7 linked regions of the Oryctolagus cuniculus genome follow. The protein of the gene in region 3 interacts with the protein of the main gene of each other region in a pairwise test. Links are inferred from orthologs where the notes say so. Each region holds a gene or a part of one and is shown on either strand. Other genes may lie near its edges.

What was found.
Region 1: the proteins of MID2 (region 3) and CCDC42 interact in binary tests that used the Homo sapiens proteins (3 or more experiments, as listed by UniProt). The two-hybrid records come from large-scale screens. The link is inferred for Oryctolagus cuniculus from reciprocal best matches to the Homo sapiens genes MID2 and CCDC42.
Region 2: the proteins of MID2 (region 3) and CEP57L1 interact in binary tests that used the Homo sapiens proteins (3 or more experiments, as listed by UniProt). The two-hybrid records come from large-scale screens. The link is inferred for Oryctolagus cuniculus from reciprocal best matches to the Homo sapiens genes MID2 and CEP57L1.
Region 4: the proteins of MID2 (region 3) and UTP25 interact in binary tests that used the Homo sapiens proteins (3 or more experiments, as listed by UniProt). The link is inferred for Oryctolagus cuniculus from reciprocal best matches to the Homo sapiens genes MID2 and UTP25.
Region 5: the proteins of MID2 (region 3) and UNC45A interact in binary tests that used the Homo sapiens proteins (3 or more experiments, as listed by UniProt). The two-hybrid records come from large-scale screens. The link is inferred for Oryctolagus cuniculus from reciprocal best matches to the Homo sapiens genes MID2 and UNC45A.
Region 6: the proteins of MID2 (region 3) and GEM interact in binary tests that used the Homo sapiens proteins (3 or more experiments, as listed by UniProt). The link is inferred for Oryctolagus cuniculus from reciprocal best matches to the Homo sapiens genes MID2 and GEM.
Region 7: the proteins of MID2 (region 3) and LGALS8 interact in binary tests that used the Homo sapiens proteins (3 or more experiments, as listed by UniProt). The two-hybrid records come from large-scale screens. The link is inferred for Oryctolagus cuniculus from reciprocal best matches to the Homo sapiens genes MID2 and LGALS8.

The regions. Positions count from the first base shown.
Region 1 is NC_091448.1:53,156,063-53,159,094, forward strand, and holds part of CCDC42 (coiled-coil domain-containing protein 42), read right to left. Parts: intron 2,961-3,032; coding exon 2,739-2,960; intron 2,632-2,738; coding exon 2,473-2,631; intron 1-2,472. UniProt on the Homo sapiens protein: Essential for male fertility. Required for sperm development.
Region 2 is NC_091436.1:62,255,630-62,259,129, forward strand, and holds part of CEP57L1 (centrosomal protein CEP57L1), read right to left. Parts: intron 484-3,500; coding exon 406-483; intron 295-405; coding exon 50-294; intron 1-49. UniProt on the Homo sapiens protein: Centrosomal protein which may be required for microtubule attachment to centrosomes.
Region 3 is NC_091453.1:85,394,603-85,398,102, forward strand, and holds part of MID2 (probable E3 ubiquitin-protein ligase MID2), read right to left. Parts: intron 749-3,500; coding exon 621-748; intron 1-620. UniProt on the Homo sapiens protein: E3 ubiquitin ligase that plays a role in microtubule stabilization. Mediates the 'Lys-48'-linked polyubiquitination of LRRK2 to drive its localization to microtubules and its proteasomal degradation in neurons.
Region 4 is NC_091444.1:24,691,583-24,695,082, reverse strand, and holds part of UTP25 (U3 small nucleolar RNA-associated protein 25 homolog), read right to left. Parts: intron 2,284-3,500; coding exon 1,873-2,283; intron 1-1,872. UniProt on the Homo sapiens protein: Component of the ribosomal small subunit processome for the biogenesis of ribosomes, functions in pre-ribosomal RNA (pre-rRNA) processing. Essential for embryonic development in part through the regulation of p53 pathway.
Region 5 is NC_091443.1:100,330,543-100,334,631, forward strand, and holds the start of UNC45A (protein unc-45 homolog A), read right to left. Parts: upstream 2,801-4,089; 5' UTR 2,679-2,800; coding exon 2,673-2,678; intron 2,464-2,672; coding exon 2,302-2,463; intron 2,162-2,301; coding exon 2,125-2,161; intron 1,909-2,124; coding exon of another isoform or gene 1,839-1,908; coding exon 1,663-1,838; intron 1-1,662. Other genes in the region: protein shisa-like-1, read right to left, coding at 2,877-3,039, 3,400-3,610, 3,733-3,838.
Region 6 is NC_091437.1:119,690,938-119,695,079, reverse strand, and holds the start of GEM (GTP-binding protein GEM), read left to right. Parts: upstream 1-1,342; 5' UTR 1,343-1,610; coding exon 1,611-1,679; intron 1,680-1,727; exon of another isoform or gene 1,728-1,954; intron 1,955-2,163; exon of another isoform or gene 2,164-2,356; coding exon of another isoform or gene 2,357-2,392; intron 2,393-2,580; coding exon 2,581-2,920; intron 2,921-4,142. UniProt on the Homo sapiens protein: Could be a regulatory protein, possibly participating in receptor-mediated signal transduction at the plasma membrane. Has guanine nucleotide-binding activity but undetectable intrinsic GTPase activity.
Region 7 is NC_091444.1:61,238,307-61,242,270, reverse strand, and holds the start of LGALS8 (galectin-8), read left to right. Parts: upstream 1-1,164; 5' UTR 1,165-1,521; intron 1,522-3,003; 5' UTR 3,004-3,113; coding exon 3,114-3,155; intron 3,156-3,549; exon of another isoform or gene 3,550-3,771; coding exon of another isoform or gene 3,772-3,789; intron 3,790-3,964.

The sequences.
Region 1 (3,032 bases), on a different chromosome or scaffold from region 3:
CCCCTGGAGTCCAGGAACCCACAGTCTTCCTTTCCCTCCCTTATCTTGACCTCTGATTTTAACATATCCTTTTTAAAAATTAATTTATTTAATTGAAGGGCAGAGTTACAGAGAGAGAGAGAGAATCTTTCATCTGCTTGTTCACTCCTCAGTGCCGCAATAGCTGGAGCTGGGCCAATCTCAAGCCAGGAGCCAGGAGCTTCATCTGGGTCCCCCATGAGAGTGTAGAGGCCCAAGCACTTGGGCCACCTCCTGCTGCTTTCACAGGCCATTAGCAGGGAGCTGGACTGGAAGTGGAGCAGCCGGGACTCGAACCAGCGCCCATATGGGATGCCGATGCTGCAGACAATGGCTTAACTGCTGTGGCACAGTGCCGGCTTAACATAAACTTTTCTTTCCCAGGTTTTTAACTTTCGATTTTTTCAGACAACCGGATCTAGCTGGTTCATAGCTGATGGGAATGAAGTGGCACATTTTAAGATAACCTTGAGGCAAAATGAAATATTCCTGTAGAGGCAAATCAGGGCTGAGAAGGATGCAGAAAGCTCAAGATTTGGAGTGGGGGCAGGGGGGAGGAGGAGGGAGGACTGGAAGTTACAGGAGACAGGGAGATGGGGGAGGGGACAGCTACAGGGAGGTAACCCAGGGACCCCAGGGAATCCTCCAGGAGTTCTGGTCTGTGACGCCCAAACTTTTCTCATGAGAACACTGAAGCGTCACTTACATGTTTTGCTCTTCCTGTCTCAGGCGCACACCAGTGGCATGCACCAGGGTGGGTGACACGTGCTGTCACAACAGCACGGCACAGAAGCCTGCATGAGAGCCTCCCTGTCCTCTACAAAGACGCTAGAGGGACATGCCACAGTGTCCACCATGTCATCCTTTGCACAAAATAGTTTTCAAAACTTTTTTTTTTTTTTGACAGGCAGAGTGGACAGTGAGAGAGAGAGAGACAGAGAGAAAGGTCTTCCTTTGCCGTTGGTTCACCCTCCAATGGCCGCCACGGCCGGCGTGCTGTGGCAGGTGCACCACGCTGATCCGAAGGCAGGTGCTTCTCCTGGTCTCCCATGGGGTGCAGGGCCCAAGGACTTGGGCCATCCTCCACTGCACTCCCTGGCCACAGCAGAGAGCTGGCCTGGAAGAGGGGCAACCGGGACAGAAGCCGGCACCCCGACCGGGACTAGAACCTGGTGTGCCAGCGCCACTAGGCGGAGGATTAGCCTATTGAGCCGTGGCACCGGCCAAAACTTTTTAACAACAACAAAAAATGCCATTTATATTAACATGTTTGTTATCTTCATTTTAAAATGAATTAAACACATATTTAAAGGTTTTATGTTCCTAACCTGTAGGAAGAAAAGCTCTCTGGAGTGTGGATAAACTTTGTTTTTCTCTATTTTTTAAAAAGGTTTATTTATTGGGGAGGCAGAGTTACAGAGAGGGAAAGACATGGAGAGATCTTCCATCCGCAAATTGTGAGAGTGCGAAGGGATCCTGAGAATCACTACTTCCAGAACAAACTGTGGAAGGCCATCCCAGGGCACTTGGCCGGGTCCCCTAAGCTGAAGGGGATATCAGCTCCCCAGCTCCGCCCAAAATGCAAATAACCCTCCTGGGAAAACCTCTTGTACCATAGAAAACTCACCGAAACTGAGGAAACACTGCACTTACAAGTGAGATTCTTGGCTTGCAGTCCATGTTGAAGTGGACATCCTTGGCTGCGCAGCCCGCTGCTCCACTGCACCCACATGGTAACAGTCACCCTCAGCTAGAAGGAACTGCTGTCACAGGTGCACCCCTCAGCCAGCAGTTCCTACCTGCTGTGCTAGTCTGCTGAACTACCCCATCTCTGCTTATTCCATCTGCTCTGAATTCCCTACATGCAATCCCAACCATCCAATGCACTTCCTGTGGTGGGGTCTTTCTTGTGAGTGCCCTAAGTGTTCCCTAGCACTTGTTCCAGGAGTTTTCCTTCCCATCCTTTATATTCCCTGAGTGTCACTAAAATTAGGGGGAATGCTTCTCAGTGGGTCAGTTTTATTAATTGTGCTTCATATTCATTTGCCAACCCTGCGCCCAGCCTTGTTGTAGGCACTGGAGGACACAGAGCTACCAGGTTCCCTGTGCTGGGGTGGGCCCTGTGGCTCAGCAGGTTAGGCCGCTGCACTGCGCTGGATGCCGGTATCCTGCACCAGAGTCGGGGCTGGAATCCTGGCTCCTCCACTTCCGACCTGGCTTCCTGCTAATGCACCCACGTGGCAGACCTGCACAGCGATCCTGGCTCCCGGCTTTGGCCTGGCCCAGCCCTTTCTCACTCTCTGGCACTCTGCCTTCCAAATAAGTAAATCTTAAACAAAATTACATATGAGGGCACTTCATAATGTTCTCAGGAAAAATGGAAAGAAAAGGTACGTTTAAGAGGATGCAAAGCAGTTTTTGCATAGCGTGGCCCGTGCCTGCGCGTCCCCCTACCATGTCCAGCTGTTTGTGCGTGTCCTCCAGGGACACGTGGGCCGTGTCCTTCAGCTGCTTGCTCACGATCTGGAAGAGGTTCAGCGTGGCCATCTTAATGGTGCCAAGCAAGAGGGTCTTCTTGGCGGCGGTGTTCTGGATGTGTGCCCAGCGAGACTCCTGCGGAAGCCATACGGGTGGGCGGGACCGGAGGCGCTCAGCGGCACCGCCCGCCCGAAGCCAGCCCCTCTGCCGCCCCCGGGCCGGGCCGGGCCGGGCCGGCTCACCCAGATAATGACGTCGCTGCGCGCGCGGTCGAAGCGCATCTGCAGCCGCGCCAGGTCGTTGTTGTGTTGCAGGATCTCGTCGTCCTTCTCCTCCATGTAGCGCGCCAGCCGCGCCTTGGCGCGCTCTATGCTCTCCTGGCCCTCCTGCGCCGACTGCAAGAGGTCGTGGTGCATGCTCACCAGCGTCTTGTAGCGCGCGATCACCTCGTGGATCTCTTCGAACTGCGGCCGGGGAGTGGGGGCTAGGGGTCACTGCCCTGCCAGCCCTTCCAGGGCCTCACCCCACCCATGCCC
Region 2 (3,500 bases), on a different chromosome or scaffold from region 3:
GCATCTAAATCACTTACTGGTTCTCCTGACAGAGAATAAAAATACTTACACACTCATTTGGTCCAGCTCATCTTGCATTGCCATCAAAAGTTCAGACAAATTGTCACAAAAGGAATCAGACTTTTCTGAGTCAGAAGGGACAGCTTTACACCATGAGGTTTTTCTAGTAGGCCTGCACAAACACCTATGCTCAGTGACTTCAGAAGGTTTCTGTAGGATCCGTGGCCCAGATCGTCGCGTTGTTTGCAGAAGGTTTTGCATACTTGCATTCACAGAACTGCCTGCACTGGCAGACTTAAGGGAAAAAGAAATAGCTGAGAATTTTAAATGAATGGTGCTATTTAAATAGTACTTACAATAAAGCAGGCATTTTTTTGAACAATTATCTTCATGTTTTCCTCTTACCCTTTCAGTCTCAAAAGGCAGTGCTCCACACTTTGAATAAACTGGCTGAGGTGGCCCTCTCTTCAAACATTTATTTGTCTAAAGATTGACAGGGGAAAAAGTAAACAAAATTATTTTAAAAGATATTTATGATACGACAAACTCTCAAAACTCAACAGTCAACAAACTGTGCAATTTGAAAATGGGCAAAAGAAATGCAAACATTTCACTGAAGAAGACACAGAGGTGGAAAAATGAACACGAAAAGATACCTTTTAGGGAAAACATGTTAAATCACAATGCAGAGGTGGGGTATTGTAGCAAAGTGGTTTAAGCTGCTGATTGGAATGCCTGCTTCTATTTTTGGAGTGCTGATTGAGTCCTGGTTCCTCCAATTCTGAGGCAGCTCCCTGCCAATGCAGCTTGGGAGGCTGTAGATGATGGATCAAGTGCTTGGTTCCTGCCACCCTGTATGGGAGACCCAGGTAGAGTTCTGAACTCTGGCTTTAGCCCTGAAGACCCTGGCTGTTGTGGGCATTTGGTGAACAACTGGATGGAAGATCTCTCTGTCTGTCTGTCTGTCTGTCTCTGTCTCTCTTTCTGTCTCTCTCTCTCTCTCCCCACACCCCCTCTTTCCCTCTCAGTCTTTCTAGTAGATGAAAATAAACTTCAAAAACATCTAATGTAATATCACTGCATAACTATGAGAAGACCCAAAACAGAAAACAGTGATGACACCAAGTGTTGGTAAGGATGCAGACAACCTGGATCACTCATACACTGTCGCTGGGAACACAAGATGGTACAGCATTGGAAGAGTTCTGGAGGACAGTTTGGCAATTTCTTATAAAACTAAACATTTCCTTATCACATGACCCAACAACTAACTGTACCTTTGGCCATTTATCCCAAAGAAATGAAAACTTAGTTAACACAAAAATCCATATAAAATTTCACAGCAGTTTTGTTTGTAAGAACCAGAAAGGTAAATGGTAAAATCTGTAACATGGACTACCATGCAGAAATAAAAGGAATATACAGATACATGTAACAACTTGGATGATCTCATGGGAAAAAAGCCAAGCCTAAAAGCTTATATACTGTATAATTGCATTTATCTAACATTCTTGAAATAACAAAATGATAGAGATGGTGAACAGATTAGTGACTGCCAGGGTCAGGAAGGGGGACATGTTGTATACAGGGATTGTATAAAGGAACCTTACAGCAGTGGGAGAGTTTTGTATCTTGATTGTTATAATGCTTACATGAATCAACATGTGATAAAACTCTAAAAGTCTCACTGCTATTAGTTACCATCTAGAAGTACAGCTCTGATCCTGTGTCTACTCATCTCAGAAACCTTCAATAGTTCCCAACTACATACAGAATAAAAGTTCAGTTTTTTAACATGGCACTGAAGGGCTGCCACAGTCTCACTCTAAGTCATGTTTTCTTTCATTCATTCAGTTGAAAGGCACACAAAAGTTGGGGGCAGGGACAGACCTTCTAACTGCTGGTTCACTTTCCAAATGCACTTAACAACCACGAGCCAGGAACTCAATCTAGGTCTCCTGCATGGGTAACAGGGACCCAAGTATTTGAGCTATCACCTGGTGCCTCCTAGGGTCCACATTAGTAGGAAGCTGGAGTCAAAAGTTGAGTTAGCATTCTAACAGGGGATGCAGGCATCCCAAGTGGCATCTTAACCACTATGGCAAATGCTCACCTCTACATTTTCAACTTTAACTCTTACTATGATCCCACTACTGTACTTTCACGTCTGGGTCTCTGGAAAAACCAACAGTTTCCTCAGGTTTTACAGGTTGAGAACCTTTATCCAAAATGCTGGGGACCTGGAGCTGGTGCTTTGGCATTCCATATGCAATCCGATTAGAGTCCCAGCTGCTTCACTATTGATCCAGCTCTCTGCTGTGGCCTGGGAAAGCACTAGAGGGTGGCCCAAGTTCTTGGGCCCCTGCACCCATGTGGGAAACCTGGAAGAAGCTCATCAATCCCAGTTTTGGATTGGTGCAGGTCCAGCTGTTACAGCCATCTGGGGAGTTAAACCAGTGGATGGAAGATCTCTCTCTCTCTCTCTAACTCTTTCAAATAAATAAATAAATTTTTGAAAAAAATGTTTTAAAAATGCTGAGGACCAAATGTTTCGCATTTCAGAATTTTTTTTCAGAATATACATACTTTTAAAAATATTTTTTATTTTAAAAATGATGTATTTATTTATTTGAAAGGCAGAGTTACAAAGAGGCAAAGAGAGAAAGCAACAGAGAGAGAGAGAGAGAGAGAGAGATCGTGAGAGAGCGAGAGAGAGAGAGAGGTCTTCCATCTGCTGGTCCATTCCCCAGATGACTGCAACATATGGGATGCCCATATGGGACACCGGCATTGCAGGTGGCTGCTTTTTACCTGCTACGCCATAGTGCCAGTCCTGGAATATACATACTTGAATACATACATAAGGTATCTTGGCAATGAGACTCAAGTTAAACGCAGGATTTGTTTCATATATATCTCATCTACACAGCCTGAAGGTAAGTTTTATACAGTGCTTTTAGTGCACCTGCATTTTGACTGTGACCTGTCACATGAGGGATTTTCCAGTTAGGGCATGTCAGTACTCAAAGTTCTGGACTTGGGAGCATTGTGGATCTGGGATTATCAGATCAGAGAAGTTCACCTTGTACTGCATTTCCCATTATCTCACTCCATCAATCCCTTTTATTCTCCAAGGCTGACTTCAATGCTGCTTCTTTCATCACCCTTAACATATTCCTTAATCTATAAAATACTGCCACTTTAAATTTCATTATATTTTGTCTTATATTTGTATATTTATTTTTTATAAATTCCAGAATTATTTAGATCATCTAGAGATACCAGTGTAAGTACATTTGGATGTATGAATAGGAATGGGCGGTTGGCTTTGTAGATAAGATGCCAGTGTCCCACACCTGAGTGTTGAGGTTTGAGACTGACTCTGCTTCTGATTTCAGCTTCCTGCCAATGCACACTCTGGAAGGTAGCAGATGATGATTCAAATACTTGGGTCTCTGCTACCCACATGGGAGACCTGGGCTGAGCTCCCAATTTCCAGC
Region 3 (3,500 bases):
AAAATTAATATAACAGTGTCTGGCATAAACTAGGTGTTTCATATAGGATAACTATGTTAATAAATTAATAAAATAGCTACAAACATAAAATTATTATGTGTAGTTTTCCTCAGTAAGTGATCATTATGTAATTCTGAAGGTAGTCACCTTTTTTGTAAACAGACTAGTTGCATCCTTCATTTCCCAACATTGTCTTCAAGGCAGATATTTCTTACCTTTTTTTTTTCTAAGCTAATTTCTAAGTTTCCTTAAAACCCTATAGGTAGTACCTATACCATGTGGGGCATTCTGTAATAGTCCCTCACTGTCACCTGACTGCCCTCTTAGAGCAAGAATGGCACATTACTGATAGACTCATATGGAGAAATTCATCAGCAATTTCTGTGGCTTACTCTTAAGTATGAATAGTATAATCTTTCTAATCCTAGAAATAGTGGATGACTCATCGTTTTCTTCTGATACATGAACTAAAATGTACTCTATCTAAAATGGTAATTATATCATCTTAAAGATTATAAGAACATTTTATTATAAATATTATCCATTTCATGTTATTTCAAAGTAAAAGTACACCAAAAAGAAATAAGCAAAATAGGAAGGAAAGCATAGTATTTTCACACCTGTTAAATAGTCTAGCCCCTCCAGCAGTTTCTTTTCTCTGGAAAAATCTAAAGCAAAGTTTTCAAAGGCATCATTAAAATTGATGTCTGGAATCAGAACTTGAGAAGATGCAGTTGCCATAGCAACCCTGAAAAAGAAAAAAAAGAATACATCAATATACATCAAAATAAGTTTGCACCTTCATCCTGTGTTTGATTTCTAGTTTAACAAGGTGAAAAGAAATGACTTGCAAGACTTGATTCACTAAGTGAAAATATCATATTTGTGCTTTTCTAATGGAACAATCTAGATTTTAACCGTAAGGAACCAATTAAGAATTATACCATATTTGTTCACATATGTTCACCCCTCAAACACACCCCTCCATCCTGTCTTAATTTTAAGAAGTAAATACAGGATTTTTTCCCCTCTGCATCATTTTCCATCTGGCAGGCAGCATCAAAACTAGACCTCTGAAGGCTTGGGAAGAGCAGTTTGAATGTTTTTTTCTCCCAGTTTGAGTGATTTTTTTCTCCCTCTCTATTTTTTATGCTAATCAATGAGCTAGCATGCTGGATTAACACCTTCCTCTAAATACTATCCTTGATTTGATCACTCATTTTATATATATATATATATATTTCATTTTATTATTCTTTAACTGTACAATGCTATCATAATTTTCTCTCCTCCAACTAATTCTAAGAGTCTCAAGAGCAATGGTCGTATTTCCTATGTCTTATGTCTTCCATGATCCCTAACACAGTATTGAACATATAGTGAATAAGTAAATGTTGAATGAATAACTGCATGACTACCAATAACAACATAACTTCTATCATTTAATGAGTGTTTAGTATATACAAGGTACTGTGGATGCACTTTACATAATTATCTACTTTTTTTAAAAGATTTATTTCTTTATTTAAAAGGCAGAGTTAAAAGAGAGTCAGAGGCAGAGAGAGGTCTTCCATCTGCAGGTTTACTCCCCAGATGGCCACAACAGCTGGAGCTGAGCCAATCTGAAGCCAGAAGCCTCTTCTGGGTCCCACACGTGGGTACAGGGGCCCAAGCACTTGGGCCATCTTCTATTGTTTCCCCAGGAGCATTAGCAGAGAGCTGGATTGTAAGTGAGTGGCCGGGATGCGAACCGGTGCCCATATGGGATGCTGGCACTGCAGATGGTGGCTTTACCTGCTATGCCACAGCGCCGGCCACACATTATCTATTTTACCCCTTACCACAACCCTGTATATTAGACATTATTTCCATTTTTGCAAATGAAAAAGTAGACACATTAAAAGGCTAAATAAATTTCCCAAGATCACAAAACTATTAAGGATAAGAAATATAATTGAAACCATGTCCATCTAATTCTAAACTCTATATATTCAATCAATTACACTGCTCCTTTTTTTAAAAAAATGAGATGTATTTTACATAGTTCAGCCATTCCTCAACATGGTTACATATCAAAATTATCTGGAAGAGCTTTTACTAAAATATACGTGTTTAAGTCCTATGCCACATCTTCTGAATCAGTCAGTGAAGATCCCTGAGAATTCAAATAATAGGATGAAAAGAAAGATCAACTTGGCGACAATATGCAAGTTAGAATGGAAGGAAGAAGCACTGAATGAGGAAGACTAGAGAGGGAACTTTCCTGGTAACCTAGTTGTGAGGATGAAGAGTTGAAAAATACATGTGATCAAGTATGTAAACCCTGCCACACATCTACAAACAATATCTCTTGGCTACTTCTGAAAATAGAGATGTTTCAGGAATAAACTGCAAGCCAATATAAATAAGTGAAAGACAATCTCAGTATAATCTTCAGGCCTCATTTTGAATAGCCAGTCTTCTAGGATTTGGCAAGTAAGGAGACAATGAATGACCTCTTTAGGGAAATAGTCAAGCCAGAAAGTTGGCTCATAAAATTTCTTCCAGACCTCCCTAATCTTTTTTTTCATCCATCCATCCATCCAACCATCCATCCATCTATCCCTCTATTCATTCAATATTTATTTAGGACAACTAATAAGATAGGCCTTGTGCTAGGAACTGGAAATAAACAGGGAGAACCAATTTGTTGTGGTGCTTGCCTTCATAGCCCTTGCCCTCACAGCGCTCACAGTTCACAGACATTAAACAGGCAATGTAAATGCTGCTGTAGAGGGAGTAGAGCATACCCAAGAGTCAGCCGGCAGGGACTTGGGAGCTAAGGGAAATCCAAGAGGAAGTTAATGTTAAGCAATAACCTACACAATGAGTAGGAGTTAACCAAGCAAAGACTGTGTGAGTGTGTGAGTGTGTGTGTGTGTGTGTGTGTGTGTGTGTGTCCTTTCTTGGCTGGAGGCTGGAGAACGAGACAAAGTCATAAGGGCCTTGTAGTGCAAACGGCAAACTTTGCATTTTATCCTAAAAGCAGTGGAGCCACTGGAGATTAAGTAGAGAAGTGACATGTTTATGATATATTCATGTTCTAAGAAGGGTACCACAGCTGAAGTGGATGGACTGGAAAGGGTCAAAACTGCAGTTAGGCACACCGGAGTTTAAGGTGTCTAGGAAGGAGCAGAAAGGAAATTGGTAACAGGAGTGCAGACGAAATGAAAAGAGTTAAATCACAAAATATGTAAACAAGTGGTCAAAAAACATATTAAAAAGTCCAACTACATGATAAATCAAAGAACTATTAAAAACAATGAGATGACATTTAGATTACACATAATAATCATATAGAAGCTTTTAATACCTATATTAAATAATACCTACATTTTTTAGGATAAAAATGGTATACATTTTGGAGGCCCATTTAATGTTAAATATAAAAACAGCTTAAAGATAATTATCTTGTATGATCCCATAGTTCTACTTTATAACATTTTTACTAAGGAGCTCAT
Region 4 (3,500 bases), on a different chromosome or scaffold from region 3:
TAGAAGCTGAGCAACTTCTGTCTCCACAGAACCACGTCCTGAGCACTCTGGCCCCACAGCTCGGTGGGAAAAATTTCTCAAGTAGAATATGGAAATGCCTTTAGGATAAGCAAAAGCCTAGAACAGACAAGTCTGACAGCAAAATCTCAAGAATGTAAACACACAAACTCTTTGAGGGCAAGGAGTGCTAACTTGTTTGTCTCCCACAGAACTTTGCACAATATTCTTACCCACAAGACCCACTGGAGTAAGTATATGCTCAGTAAATAAATGGAATAAATGAGAAATAAAACAGGTAAGAAAAAGGATGAACACGGTGCTATTTTCCTACTACATTCCCCAATGCATTTTTCAGAAACAACAGTAAGGCATTTCTGAAATAAAATCATAATCAACAGGAAAAACAGGACTCGGTCTTCCAAGCATTTCCAAAAATGCTTAAAAATGACCGTTGAGAACAAAAACAGAAGATGCTTGATAAATGGTTCATTTCAACCACTCTCTCGTAAATAACATAATCAGTGAACACAAGCCCCGTCAAATCATGCAATTCACCAAACTAAAATGTGCTTCATAGGTAATCTGTTTAGTTCTCTACACAATTCTAAGTGGAAACAAACGTGTGATACTGAAGTTCAAGACTCTGAGGCAGCTCCCCAGAAAGGCAATAAGCATTTACTGGAGCAGAAACTCAGCCTGAAATAATGGGGACAGCAGACAGAGATTTAAAAGACAGAGTTACTGTCCCAGCTGAGACACTAAAGAAGTGTCTGGGCCTTGGTTTCCACAGCTATCACACAATGGGAGAACAAATCTCTTAACAGCCACTTCAGTATAAAAATTCTAGAATTCTATTAAACTTGAATGAAGAATCTACAAATATAAGACTTCTTGGGAGCTGGCGCCGCGGCTCACTAGGCTAATCCTCCGCCTTGTGGTGCCGGCACACCGGGTTCTAGTCCCAGTCGGGGCGCCGGATTCTGTCCCGGTTTCCCCTCTTCCAGGCCAGCTCTCTGCTGTGGCCAGGGAGTGCAGTGGAGGATGGCCCAAGTGCTTGGGCCCTGCACCCCATGGGAGACCAGGATAAGTACCTGGCTCCTGCCATCGGATCAGCGCGGTGCGCCAGCCGCAGGGCACCGGCCGCAGCGGCCATTGGAGGGTGAACCAACGGCAAAGGAAGACCTTTCTCTCTGTCTCTCTCTCTCACTGTCCACTCTGCCTGTCAAAAAAAAAAAAAAAAAAAAGACTTCATGGAAAGATCAAGCTGAAGGAGATTGGAATGACAAGACCTAGCTTTGCAAGGTTATACAAAATGTAGACAGAACAAAAGTCATTTTCTTTCCTATTAAAGACTTAAATCCACTGGAGTTTCAACTTGTGTAATCCCTACTTAAACAGCAACAGAGTGGCAAACAGGGATTGCTATTTTCATGTCTCAGCAAAGAAAATTCTCAGTTCTGGTCCCTTCTCTGCTACTTTTTGGTTCTCTTTAGCAAGGTTGTCTTTGAATTTGGGTCTCTACTCACAGCTGTGATACACAGGGATAAAGAGCTCATTACCGTCCCATTCAACACTGACAACCGCAAAGAAGAGATTTACAGCAGACGGCTGCCACCTATCTGTGTTTACCTTTTAGGAGAGCACGAACTACTTTTCTCAAGTGTCCAGCTAGCTCCACTGTCAGAAACAGCCCACTGGGCAGTCTGCTGCACTGTTCTGACAGTAACTTGGCCCACTCCAAAGTACTCACATCTGGGTTCATCATTCCAGTCAATTCGTAAAACACTGGAGCACCTGCTTAGTGCCAGGCACCTACACAGCAGGGCCTTGCAACCCCTTTCCTGCAGGAGCAGCTTTCCTGCTGCCACTCACCTTGGGCCTCGTTAGCCCCTGGTCCCTGAAGTCATCGTCATCACCCACCCCAAATTTCTGGCTTCGGCGTCTGCTGTTGTTGCCAAGCACCTGGGCGTTGGCTTTGAGGACGTGATTCAGCACGTGCAGGCAGTACACGTGGCGGATCTCCTCTCCATTCTTCAAGGCAGACCTTTCTGGGTAGAACAGGTCCCGGTAAGAATTCATAATTAAGAAGAGCTCTTTCTGGAGGGGGGTGAAAACACTACTTGATTTTTGGGGGCCGGTTAGGAACTGGCTGTTGGTCTTGGGCCAGGTGGATTCCAGGGGCTTCTGGAGATGCAGTGACTTCAGGTCAATATCCTTTGGGGGTTTAAATGTTTCCAACTTCTGAAACTTGGATGAAAAGACAAGCTGGCCCAGGATGGGCCACTAGGAGGGAGAGAAAGAGAGAGAGACACCAAGAGCTAAGTTAGAAATGAATTACAAGACCTTAAACTCACATACCTTATCAAGAACTTTCATGATTTATACATATCTCACTCAACCCTTACAACCCTGCAAGGTGGATACCATAATACTCACAATATAGTTCAGGAAAAGCTGAGGTTCTCACAAACTTGTATGATCCAGACAAAGTTTACATAGGGGCAGGTAACTAGCCTTCCAGTTAAGATACTGGTTAAGACATCTGTACCCCATAAAGGAGTACCTGGTCAGGCTTCCTGCTATTGCAGACCCTGAGAGAGAGCAGTGATGGTTCAAGTAACTGGGCTCCTACCACCCCTGTGAGACATAGATAGAGTCCCCGGATCTCAGCTTTGACCTTGGCCCAGCTAGGCTATTGCAGGCATTTGGGGAGTAAACCAGTGGATTGGAGTGCTGTCTCTTTGCCTTTCAAATAAACAATTTTCAAAAAACAGTTTACACAGGAAGGAATGGAGTCGAGGGCAAGAATCTAAAGAATTCATGGTTTCTGACTTCAAATATAAGCTCTTTGCTCCATTGGTGCTCCCCAAGATGTTTTGCAAAATATAATCTGAGGAAGAGTAAAAATTCTTTCTAGAAAAAAAGGAACTCCACACTCAGATAACTCTGGGTTCACAATGTATACTGTAGACTAATAATTCTGGCAAGTCCCATAAGAACTCTGTCCACTTTGTTGAACCCAGAGTTTTACAAATTTATTTGAACATGAGAAAAAAATTTTATTTTTAGAATCCTAGAGAATATTTTGTGGGAAATGAGTTTGGAAATTTTTGCGTTGTAGCAAAATTTGCTAATCTCAAAATAGGATGACCTCAGCAAGTACAGAAAAACAAACTAGTCATTGGTAAAACTATATGAATAAATCCCCAAGCAATTATGCTATATGAAAAAAAGTCAATCTCAAAAGATTATATACTGTAAAATTTTATTTAACATTTTGAAATGATAAAACTATAGAAATGGAGACATTAGTGGTTTCTAGGAGTTATGAATGAGGTGGGGGAGCATAGAAGGAAGCGACTGTGGCTGTAGAAGGGCGCAGGGACTTGCCTATCTGGTGCTGGACATGTTTCACACCTTGATGGGTAGTGGTGGCAGAGACAGGGAGCTACACAGCTGACCAAACCATACCAGAGCTCCAAGCGCTAGCTTCCAATTCC
Region 5 (4,089 bases), on a different chromosome or scaffold from region 3:
ATGCGCGTTAGCAGGAAGCCAAAAACAGGAGTGGAGCTGGGGTGTGCACCCAGGCACTCCAATACGGGACGCAGGCATCCAAGCTGCCTCTTAACTGCTAGCACCAACGCCCACTTTAACACCAAAGTAGCTGCTTGACACAGGCTTGGCGGTAGCTCATGGCGATCGTTAGATTCTGTTTCCACTAGCTTTGAAACACGTGTACCACACACCGTTCCTTCTTTGAGAAATACTGACGGGCAGGCATTTGTCCTCAGTACACCTGGGCCCTTATCAAGTCCTGGCTCCGCTCCCAATTCCAGCTTCCTGCCAGACACTGGTAACCACTCAAATAACTGGCTCACCACCACCCACGTGGGGGACCTAGACTCCCACTTCAGCCTGGTCTACCTCTGGCTGTTGTGGGCACTTGGGGAGTGAACCAGCAGACAGGAACCCATCTCTGCCTCTCAAATTTAAAACAGTTAAGGGATGACGCAGGGACTCCACTCACTCCCCTTCCTTCCCCAGAGGTCACAGTGTTACCATTTTGATATACTCGTCCTTTCCTTTGGACGCCCACCCCCCAGGGTAAAGCAGTTTTCGGTGTGGGGGACCATTTTAACACACTGTGTGTTACTGAGCAGTCTTTCCTCATTGGCCGGCTCTCCCATTGCCTCCGATCCGCCTGTTCTGAGTAACCACAACACGGGAGTCTGCAGTGACGACATCACCCTGGTATTTAGCCATTCCCCTCCTGCCAGGCATTTAGGCGAGTTCCAAGTTTTCCTTACTAGAAACAAGGCTGCAATAAACACACGCGTACAAACTCGTGCACGCAGGCAAGGCCTCTCTAGGGCAGGGGTGGGGAACGTTCAGTGTCTGAGCCATATAAGGCTGCGAAATCATTTGTTCTGGCCAAGGCAACCACCGAAGAGACTCAAAATTCCGCAAACTACAGCAGGCTGCTTTTTAAGTCCATCATTTTCTATGGCCCATAATGACGGTGGACAGATCCAAACGGCCCTTGGCAGACAAAAGGTTCCCTCGCCCCTGCTCCAGGGAAAACAGCAAGAAGTGAACACACTGGGGTAGGTGTCTGTGGTGGGCAGGTGAAGCTGCAGCTTAGACACCCACATCCATATCAGAGTGCCTGGTCTGTCTTGTCTAGTCTGCTTCCAATCCAGCTTCCTGCTAACACTCACGCCTGGGGAGGCAGCGGCAGCCAGCCCAAGTGCTAGGGTCCCTGAACTCCCGTGGGAGACCTGGCTGGAGTTCGGGGCTCCTGGCTTCAGCCTGGCCCAACCCCAGCTGTTGCGGGCATTTAGGGCGTGAACCAGCAGATGGAAGCGTTCTCTCTCCATCTCTCCCCTTCTCTGTCACTCTGCCTTTCAAATAAATAAATAAATAAATAAAACGTACCAAAGGGGGGGGTAAATATAGTAGATTACAGATTATGAGCATTTAACACTTCCAGACGTTGTACCAATTTCCACCCCCGCCAGCAGTCACACGAGCCCTGCCCCCCAATCTCACCACTTAAGCGGTGACAACTACCAGCACCAGGCTGCACCTGTAGTTTGCTCTTCGCCGGGCACCATCCTGCGCGCCCACACCCAGGGAGCTGTGCCTACCCCCGCACCACCACCCGGCACCACCGCTCGGTGCCCGGATCCCCCATACCTTCTCCTGGATCTGGCCCGCGATGTTCCGCAGGGCCTCCTGGAAGATTCTGTTCTTGGGCTCCAGGCTCACGCATCTCTGCAGGTCCAGCACGGCCTGGTCCAGGCGGCCCAGCTTCTCCAGGGCTTGGCTCCGCCGGTAGAGCGCTTTGATGTCCCCGCCGTCCTTTTCGATGGCTGAGCACAAACAGGAGCTTGTCAGCACCCGTGAGGCCACCGTGTCCGGGCGAGAGCAGGAGAGAAAGCTCTGGAGGGCCAGAGGAAGGGGTGGGGGTGGGGGTGGGAGACAGAGGTGGGGCTCGGTACTCCAGCCCCAGACAAGGTACAGGTAGCTGTGAAAAGGGCAGGCCCCAGCAAGTGCGAAGGGAGGAGGCAGGCGAGCTAGGGGGTCACAGCAGCAGACGCGGTGGTGATGCAGTGGCCCCAGGATTGTCGCCCGTGTCACGAGCCGGCGCTCGCCTACCTTTCGATGCCTCGGCTTCGGCTTTGTCATAGTCCTCCTGTGAGAGAGCAGGTGCCTGAGCGGAGGGTCCCCCCCTCCCGGGGACCGGCCGCGTGGCAGTCACCCACGCCCCTCCCATCCATTCCGCGGCCCCCCAGACATGTGACAAAGCGGGGTGGCCAGGCTGGGGCTCCTCACCAGCCTGAGGTGGCAGGCGGCCAGGTTCCGGTGCAGGACGGCCTGGTCCTGCGGCGTCGCGCCCAGACCCAGGGCCTGGGTGTAGGCCGCCAGGGCGCCCTCGTAGTCTCCGCATTTGAACAGCTCGTTGCCCTGCTTCCGCAGCTGCTCCGCCGAGCTGGCCTGTGGGGAGGGGGCGGCGGGCCGCGTCGCGGTGGGCTCGGGGGAGAGGGAGCGGGGAGCGCGGCCCGCGGGCGAGCGCCGTGCAGAGCCAGGAACGCGGGAGGCGGTGGCCAGGGTATGGTCAGGGAAGGGGCGCGGAGGTGCGGGAAGAGCCTCGTACCCCGGGACGGCGGGCCGGGGCTCGGGGTGGGGGTGCCTGGACCACTCACAGTCATCGCAGAGCCGATGTCCCTTCCCCGCGCAGCCGCAGTCTCTGGGGCGGGGGTGTGTCTAGGCTCCGGAAGCCGTCGCGAGAGGCCCCGCCCAGCGCTGTGTCAGGGAAGGGGCGGAGCCACGGAGAGGACGTGCTGCCCAGGCGGGGCGGGGCTCTCCGTGCGCAGGCGCAGAGAGGGCCCCAGGCGTGCCTTGCGTGTTCACGCGGAGACCCGTAGGGGGCGAGCCGCCGAGGACCTAGAGGGAGGTGCGCGGCGGCCCCGGCGCGGGCTCCGGCCACGGCAGAAGTGCACCAGGTCTGTGGTCATTAGGGCCACCAGCAGCAGGCTGTAGAGGCCCAGCGCTAGGAGCGGGCCCGGGCCCCTATGGGAGAGGAGAGAGTGTTAGCAGCAGAGAAATGTAGATCTTCACGTACTCATTGGCGCACACATTTGGATGGACACTGGCATCCTGGGTGTAATCCACGCGCGACAGGCCCTTCTGAGCCGCCCCGACCCCCTCTGCCTCACGACACACCCCTTGACTCAGGGTGGGTGCCCACTTCCCGCAGCCCCCGGCACTTTTCCATTGCAGAAGTGTGTGTCATGATTGACGGGACTTCGCTCATTGTCCCCGCGCTAATCCGCAAACTGCAAACTCGCCACCCCACTCCACCCCGGAACCTGGGAACAGAGCCCCGGATCCTAGAACCCCTGGTCGGTGGCTCCGGGTTGGGGTCCGCACCTGAGGATGGGCGGGGGCGGAAGGGCGGACAGGTTGACTCGGTGTAGGGCCTCGAATTCTGCCCGCGTGCAGCAGGAGCCCTCGGCAGCCCGCAGGTGGCAGCAGTAGGCCTCCTCCGGGGCGTCGGAGAGCCGAGGGCAGAAGAAACCCCGGTGGAGGCGGCCGTCGGCGTCCGGGCTGGTCTGGCACAAGTGGGGGTGGTGGGCCAAAGCTGAGGAGAGAGGCACGGGGGCTGGAGGCCAGCGGGAGGGGCCTGCCCACGCCAGAAAAGCAGGCTCCCTTCTCCTCCCCTCCGCCCCCAGCAGCCCGCAAAACGCCCGGGAAGCGCAGTACCTGAGAGAGAGGTGGGCCGAGCACGGGACCCCGGACCCAGGAGCAGCAGTAGCCCCACCCACAGGCCTGTGGGCGAGGGGCCGGGCCCCCTTTTCTGGAAGCCCATGAGAGGTCACCTCGGCCTCCGCCCTGGTGCTAGGAACCCCAGCATCTCCTCGGCGTGGCCGCGGTTGCAGACAGAATACAAGATCAAAGCCGCCAGGCCGTGGGCCCACAACCCTGCTGGAGCTGCCCTGTCCCAGGCTTCTGGAGAGAGATGAAAGGGACCGGGTTTGTGTCTCTCGGTGGAATTCGCGCCTGAGGTTTTCTGGGCGCAAGGGGGACCGGCCCGGAATGGAGGGTGAGCGAGAAGTGGGG
Region 6 (4,142 bases), on a different chromosome or scaffold from region 3:
GAAGAGGTCACTGGAACGCGTTACCTGGTTGTGTCCAGCAAAGAGTCAGGCAGCCCAGGGTTTGGATCCCCACCTCGCCACCTGTAGAAGCTGTGTGACCTTGGGCAGGTTCTCTGGTCACCTGTCCCTTTCCTCCTCTGTAGAATGAAGTAGCAATGTGAGAATCAGCACCTAGTTGCACTGTGCTAAACACTGAGGCTCCTGGAGGCCTAACAGGACCTATTAAGTACAGGTCCTGGGAGGGACTTGGTAAATGATAGGGGTGGTGGTTCCCATAATCCTGCATGCTTGATTCCCAGGCGGCTCTCAAGGGACTCGGGCTGAGTGCTGGTCCCAACACTCTGGCTCCAGGCCTGGGGCTCCGCAGCTCTGCCAATGAGGCTGCTGATCGGGATGCTGATTAAATTCCCTGATAGAGAAGCCCCAGCATTCTGGCCCAGGGCTCAAGGACCGGCAATATTTAGCACAATCTGCGTGGTTCTCTAATTAAGTTATTTTTCGAAACTGCCCTTTGCAAGGTCTCCTTCCTCACCTCTCTCTGGCCCCTTCTCGCTGGGTCCCTGCCAAAGGAGGGAAATAAAACCGAGTGGGGCGCCCTCCTCCCTCCCTTGGCCGCCGGGAGAGAAGGTGACTGGAGGCAGGCTGAGCCCGTGTTCCTTGCAGACAATGCAGCTGCACCAAGCCCTGGTCATTCCAGGTGGCTGCGGCCCCCACGCAGGGGGCTAACGTCCCCACCAACACTGGCCTGGGCCTTGTGTTTTGTTTTGGGGAGGCAGAGTTGGGCTCGCCACTAAGACCCATCCTTTATCCCGACAGCTCGCAAGTGCTCTGCTGGGAAGGGCGATTAAACAGCACTCCATGTATTTTTCCATTTTCCTATGTGCACCTGGTAAAAATAAAATAAAACAAAAGAGGCCCAGGATTGAACTGTCATTGTTTTCTTTTAAAAGGGGGAGCGGGCTCACGTGACTGCGAGTAACCGCTTCGGCCAAGCCGCTTGCCACTCCGGAGTTTGCTGCAGAGCCGCCCCCTCCCGGCGGGGACGCTGACGTCACGGAAAAGCCCGGTCGCGGGCCAGCGGCGCTCGCTATAAACCGCGGGGCCGCGGCGGCCGCAGGCGGCGGCTCGGACGGCGGCCACCGTGCAGCAGCAACGCGCTCGGCTGCCCGGATCCCCCTGCGGAGTGACGCGCGTGCGCGTGTGTGCGCATACCCACGCGGACCGCCGGCCCCGGCCGTGCCAAGTAAGGGGCGCGCTGCGTGAGGGGCTCCCGGGAGCCGCGGCCCCTAGCGGGCAGGGAGTGGGCGTGACCCCCGCGGGCGCAACTTTTCAAGTTGGGAAGGGAGCCCTTGGGGTGCTCAGTCGAGCTGTGGTTTTCTGTGGGAGTGGGCGGACGGGGCAGAAGGGGGCGCAGAGCCTCAGGTGCAGGGGTTGTCGCTTCTGTCCCCTTGATTGCCTCAGGGGGAGGCTCGCCGCCTCCTACAGTTCCGTACCGACAGAGGGTAGTCCTCAGGACACCTCCTGCTCTTGTCGTTTGGGTTAAAAATCGCCGGCCAGGTAGTGGGCGAGGTGTTGGGGCGCGGAGTTTGGGGGTGAGGCTGGGGAACAGAATGTTTGTCCAGTTCTTTCTCACTCGCACCGGCCGGATCTCGCTGATGGAAATGCAAGGGCTGCCATCGGTATGCACGGATTGCACAATTGTTTGCAGCCAAATAAACTTAGCAATTTGGATTCCGTTTTCCACGACCTTTTTGTACTCCATCTCTGGTGGCCGCGGAGTGTGCGGAGAGGCAGTCTTGCGAAGGGAAAGTTGTAGGAGGGGCTCTGGCCTTCTGATTGGCTTCCAGATGTCTGAGTCGAAGAACCCTGCGGGAGGGATGTGGTTTGCTCAGAGCGAGGTGCCTCCTCTGCCAGTGGATAGGTCTGGACGTGAGCAGGTCATTCCCCAACGTGGGTGAGGAGCCCGGGGTGGGGTGAGGGGAGGTGACTGTAACCCTCCAGAATCCCCCTGCCCCCCGCTAACGGTCTGTCCAGGCAGCTGGAGAGCATCAGGGCGTCTTGACTAAACATGGAAGTTCCCATAAGTGCCTGTCCAGTCGCACGGTGGGGGGGTGGTAGGGGGTAGGGGGTTGGGGGTTGGGGAGAGTGATGTCATGGCCACGTGTTTCCCACCGAGGCACAAACGCCCGCTGTCCGCTGGTGCAGTAAGAGCCTTGTTTAGACAAGAGCACCCAACCTGGCCAGCTGGTCTCCAGCAACATTAACTTGTTGCTTTTCAAGCCTTCTTGGGAGGTTGTCGGCTCTCTCTGGTTGCCTCTGAGCCAGCTCTGAGTGGGGATCACAGGAGTCCCCAAGGATGGAGGAAACCCACGGGCAATGGGCCATGTTAATGGTACTTTTTAATCTGTGCAAATGGTGTGGGGTGTGTGTCCCGGCGAGGGCCTGGCTGCTTGGGGTTTGGGGACTGTTTCACTGGTGCACTGATGTTAGGATACTTGGTCGTCACCACGTCACTGACGACCGCCCCTGACTCTCGCTCATGCTTGCTAATGCTGGCTTCTTGGCTGCTCTGCTCCCTAGGACCCGACGATGACTCTGAACAATGTCACCTTGCGCCAGAGCACCGTGGGCATGCAGCCCCAGCAGCAGCGCTGGAGCATCCCGGCTGACGGCAGGCATCTGATGATCCAGAAAGAGCCCCACCAGTACAGCCACCGCCACCGCCCCGCTGCCGCCCCGGACGACCACTGCCGCCGGAGCTGGTCCTCCGACTCCACGGACTCCGTCATCTCCTCGGAGTCGGGGAACACCTACTACCGGGTGGTGCTCATCGGGGGGCAGGGAGTGGGCAAGTCCACTCTGGCCAACATCTTTGCGGGCGTGCATGACAGCATGGACAGCGACTGCGAGGTGCTGGGAGGTAGGTAGTGCACCTCGGTGGGCTTCCATCCATCAAGCGGTGGTCCAGGCTGAAAGAGCAAGAGTGGTGGGTTGTTGGAGAGCTGAGCTGCGGCTGTGCATTCTTCACGCTGGGTGAGGGAGCTGGGTGCCCAGAAAAGCCTTGGTCCAGCTTGGCACAAGAAAATGGAACTGCTCCAAGACAGGTCCCATATCTGCTGAACCTGGGCCAGCAGGGAGTGTCTTAGATTCCAGGTCTGAAGGGGTGGTGGGTGGGTGGGGGGGTGGGCTGATGAAGAGGGCAGAGAGTAGGGGTCTGGATCCCACTTCTGGCTTAGGCGACTCTGACCTAGAGCTTATTACCTGAGTTTGGGATAGATGCTGCCTTTCCCTGGGTTATACCAGGGAACCCAGCATTTGAAAAACTGCAAGAATTCACTAGTTTCCATCAATATTAGAGCCGTTCAAGGGTACAGATAAAGAGTTCAATATATATATGTGTGTGTATATATATATATATATTTGAAATGGTATAAGAATTTGTTACAAATTTAAAGTACACAATGTTGATACATATTTTCTATAGAGCCTTACAGCTTTTCAAGACAAGATTTCTCATGTAATCTCATTTAAAATGTTTAGAGAAGGCCTGCTTATTTCCTATACTGATCACGAGCACACGTATTCCTCTGTGGCAGGTCAGCCACAGTCCTGTGTTCGGGGAAGTGATAGGCAGATCCGCATGACCAGTGGTATCCATACAGTGTCATTCAGCCACGGCTTCAGTCTTAGCATGTGTGGCCAGGGTAATTGGCTGCTGTGGAAATAAAGGAAGAACTGTCCAGTGCTTGCCCAACTCACGTGTTCTGTCCATACTCTCAGCTGCGACTCAGCCTGAATCACAGACCTGCCGAGTGGGAAGGTACCTTAGTGATGACTCAGTTCCCGCCCCCTCTGTGTGATGCACACAAAGCCTACTCCTCACTACCGGCAGCCGCTTCATCCAAGGGATTTATTCTTCTTGACGGTGGCAGGGTCGGGGAGGCCACGGCTGCCCGAGGCAGCTCAGGAACTGGGCTATTAATGATGACTCATGGACGTTAACATTGATTTCCCTCCTCCCTTCCGAAATCTCAGGGACTACAGCTTAGCAAGAGGCAAGGGGACGTTGTAGCATTGATCTTCTCTTCATAGGGGCTGGAGGGTGACTCTCGCTGGAAGAGAGGAAGGAACCAATGCCGGGG
Region 7 (3,964 bases), on a different chromosome or scaffold from region 3:
AAGAGAACCAAAGGAAGCGTGGAGCACCGAGGTTCTGAGGTGGGAGTGTGACAAGCATGCTGTGGGGATAGCTGTGGGGCAGTGTGGTTGCTTCAGAGTGAAGAGGAAGCAGAAAAGGAAGTTGCGGTATGTGGGGATGAAGGGTGTATTGTGAAGTGCTCCTGTAAAGACTCACCTTTACTCAAAGGATGAGCATAAGTTAGTAGAAAGTCCTAGGAGAGGGTTAACATTGTCTGAACTACATTTTGTGGTGATCATCCTCTCTGTAGCCATTGTATTCAGAGTAGATTTCAGCAGAGCAAGTACAAAACCAGGAAGATCAATTAGGAAACTATTTTGGTAATCTAGTAAGATGTGGAGCTTTCAATCTAGAAAGTCCCGGGATGTCTTTATGTATTCCTTATCACCGTGCCTTGTCAGCACATTCAATATGTGCTTGTGTGTCTTAAATGAAAACACACTAGGCTCACTGCACAAAGTGACAAATGAGGAAGGTATTTCTAGGAATAGGTTCTTAGCATTTATGTGTGATTAAAACCAGAAATACTTTGCTAATACTGGGTTTCTGGCACTTTGACTCAGTCCCATTTATACCTAAACACCACTTAGCTTAATAAAGAAACAGCAATGATTTGTATTTAACTTATTTTGACCTTGCAAAGAAGTACTAGACAAACCCAGGCAAAATTGTCAGGACACTCAATTGCTCCTCACTTACCAATTACCTAACATTTCAACCTAATTTTTTGGTGTACATTTCAAATAAAGCATCACACAGGGCACTGGAGAATGTATAAGACAAGCTTCTTTGCTCAATGTACAATCAAGTTGGATGGATAAAACTCACACCTCACAGGTAGCAAATCTGAGGTAATGCAATGCATATCTAGAGTTAAACTATTTAAGTTGGATCTTGAGGAATGAATCAGAAGTGGAAAATGGATAGGAAGTAAGAAAACACTGGTGAACCAGAATATGAGTTGCTGCTCTGGGACTTGCAATGAATTCTTCACCTTAAATTTAAAAATATTAACAACAAAAGGAGGAAGCTCATTGTAACACTATGTCTTTGAAAACACAGGTGGTTAGAAGCCAAGAAGAGACTAAATATAGAGATCCCTTATATAAAACACTAAGCAGTCAGCCATTCAAAAGTAGCCCTCCTACCTTCCCACTTCCCTCCCAGAGGAAGCCAGATGCACTCAGGAAGTTGCTAAAGACAAATCCTTCGTCCTAGTTCCTTTCTGCTCCTTCCACAGCAAGCCTGTCACCATTCAAGTTCCCAGAAGCTGTGCAGGAGGCCGAGCTCCCAGCCAGAAGTCCTCAGAGTTGGGGAGGACACCCGGGACCCGGACACTGGGCTGACAACAGGGATCAAGGAAGGCGAAACGAGAAATGTATGTGGATTGACTCCTCTCACTGCCCGTAGCCCTGGGCCTCCGGGAGCTGGGAATCCCGACGGCACCCTGCGGCGGACAAACTGTCGGCTACGTGGAGCGCCTACACCACCACCAGTCCTGGGTAAGTCGGGAGTCCGTCCGCCTCTGGGGGGTGACAGTCGCCAGGGGGTGTGGCTGCCGCGGTGGTCGCTTCAGCCGAGGAGGAATTCGTCGCTGTCCCTAAAGCAGTCTGATAAGTGGGACAGGGTCCGGTCCACCCTGTCGCCGGATCCTCACCGCGGCGGAGCCGGGGCTGGCTGGCGGGGAGCGAGCGAGGGGGTTATAGGGAGCCCCGGTTCTTCCTGGCAGCCCTGGCTGGGAGCGGGCTGTGTGCATCGGCTGTCGCCTGCCTCAAACCTGCTGTACCTAGGCTGCTGTCTCACCTGCTCCCTGCCAGCCCCAGGCCGAGCGCCACCTCCGAGAGAAGGAAGCCGGGGAGTTTCCTTCCCCGTGTTCTGGATGACCGGTCCTTGAACAGTTTGGAGTCAGACCCGCGTTGCTCCCCGCGGCCCCCTCGGCTCTGTGAATTCGGTCGGTCTTTTAAGATGCCGAGTCACTGGACCGCCGTGGTGAACGGTCAACCCGCGAGTCCTCTGCCTCTGATCGTCTGTGGCTTGTCGTGAAGCAGAGGAATTGTGTGTGATGGCAGGATCTGTGGCCTTGTGATTATTTCGGGAGGAACGACGGGTCTAATGCAAGCCTGCGGCTTAAATTTTGCCACTCTCTGATTATGTGAATTATGTATGTGGCTCTGGTGACTGTATCCATCCTTTCTGCTCTCCGTGCTTCCTGAGTTTCACGGAGCTGAATGAAAGTTTTCGGGGTTTTGACTATCGTGCGTGGGTAAACCCAGACAGATGCCGATTAAAAAAAAAAAAAAGGTTTGGGCAATGGGTATTGTCCTGTTACTGTATCGCAATAATGACAACAGCTGCAAGTGAGAGCTAGGAAGTTAGTTTCGTTTCTCCTTTCGTTCTGTTTATAACCATCTACTCTTCCGTGGAGATAATGAATGTAGTGCTAATGAGCACAGTTGTCTTTAAAGATATGGCAAATGTCCCCACACACTTTTTTCACAACAGAAAAAAACTGGATCTTCTTTGTATTCAAAGGGTTGTTCTTTTTTATCCCTCCTTATGACTTGTTTAGTTTGGAGTAGAAAGAATGTTCCTTCTACTCATAGTAATAACTCACACACAGCACATGCTGTTCTGCGGTTTTGTTAACTCATTTCATCTTCAGTATGAATATTATTCCCATTTTATGGACAAGAAAAAAAAATGAGTACCTCTGATGGTTGTATTTACCATTATATTGTTTGCAGAATTTTTAATAATAAATTCCATGTTAGAAGTTTTCTACTGATATTTACCAAAATTTTTTTGTGCTTATACTCAAATTATTTAGTATTTAAGTGTACTAGTAAGAATGGGTTCAGTTCTTTGAATGTAATAACATCTTACTCTTTGGCAAATATCAGTAAATAACATTACATTTATAAATAGTTACGATATGAAAAAATACATGCTTATTTTTATTTCCCTGCATTTTTATTTTTACATAGGGCAAGTGCCTCAGTTTCAGTCTGGGTGACCTTTAAGTGAAATTTGCTTGCCATCTTAGTTCATACACAGAAAACTGCAATCAACAAAATCAACAGGTCGAAGAAGAACGATGTTGTCCTTAAACAACCTACAGAATGTCATCTATAACCCGGTAACTGATTTCTGTAAACTCACTCTTTACTGCTGGGACGATTGATAGCAAATCCAACTGAACAGTAATGTCAGTATTCAGTGGCGAGGAGAAGGAGAAGGAGAAGTAAGGGTCTTGTCCAGTCCATGCTGGTCCAACAGCCCCTGAATGACTGTAGTTGCTGAAAATTTGTAATGAACATCTGGGCAATAAAAAGCTTGCTATAGTGCCAGGTGGTGGTGAGAGTCTTCAGCAGTATCTGGTCTCCACTTACCTGCAGCTGAATCATGAATTTGGACACTTGCTTTCTCAACAACCCCCCTAGGAAGTCATTGGCCAATATACAGGGTGAGAGGCCTCAAAGCAAGCGCCGATTAAAGTGCATGGACTCAGGCTTTTGTTGTTTATTTTGTAGCTGCAGTTGTTTTCCCCCTAAGTATGAACGTCATTGTGCAAGAATAAAGTGCAAAAACTGGATCAAGCAAAAGCTCGGTTTCAGAAGACCCTTCAGCAGTAGTAGGTTGAAAAAGGAAGTGTCACAGAATCTGAAGCCAGTGAAACACTTAAAATGCTTTTGTGGGGGTAGTTGTGGACTGACTTCCTGCAAAGATCGGAAAACAAAACCAAAAACAGGCTGATGCTAAGAGGGGCTGAGGTGTGTACTTGGCTCAAGCTGGATGGGTTATGGGTTATGCGTTCGCTTTTGCCCTTCACACACACAAGATGCTTTATTTCAATGTTATTTAAGAATAATCTTATAGATTAAAATCCCTGTATATATTATTTTAAAAAAGATTTATTTATTTGAAAGGCAGAGTTACAGAGAGGTG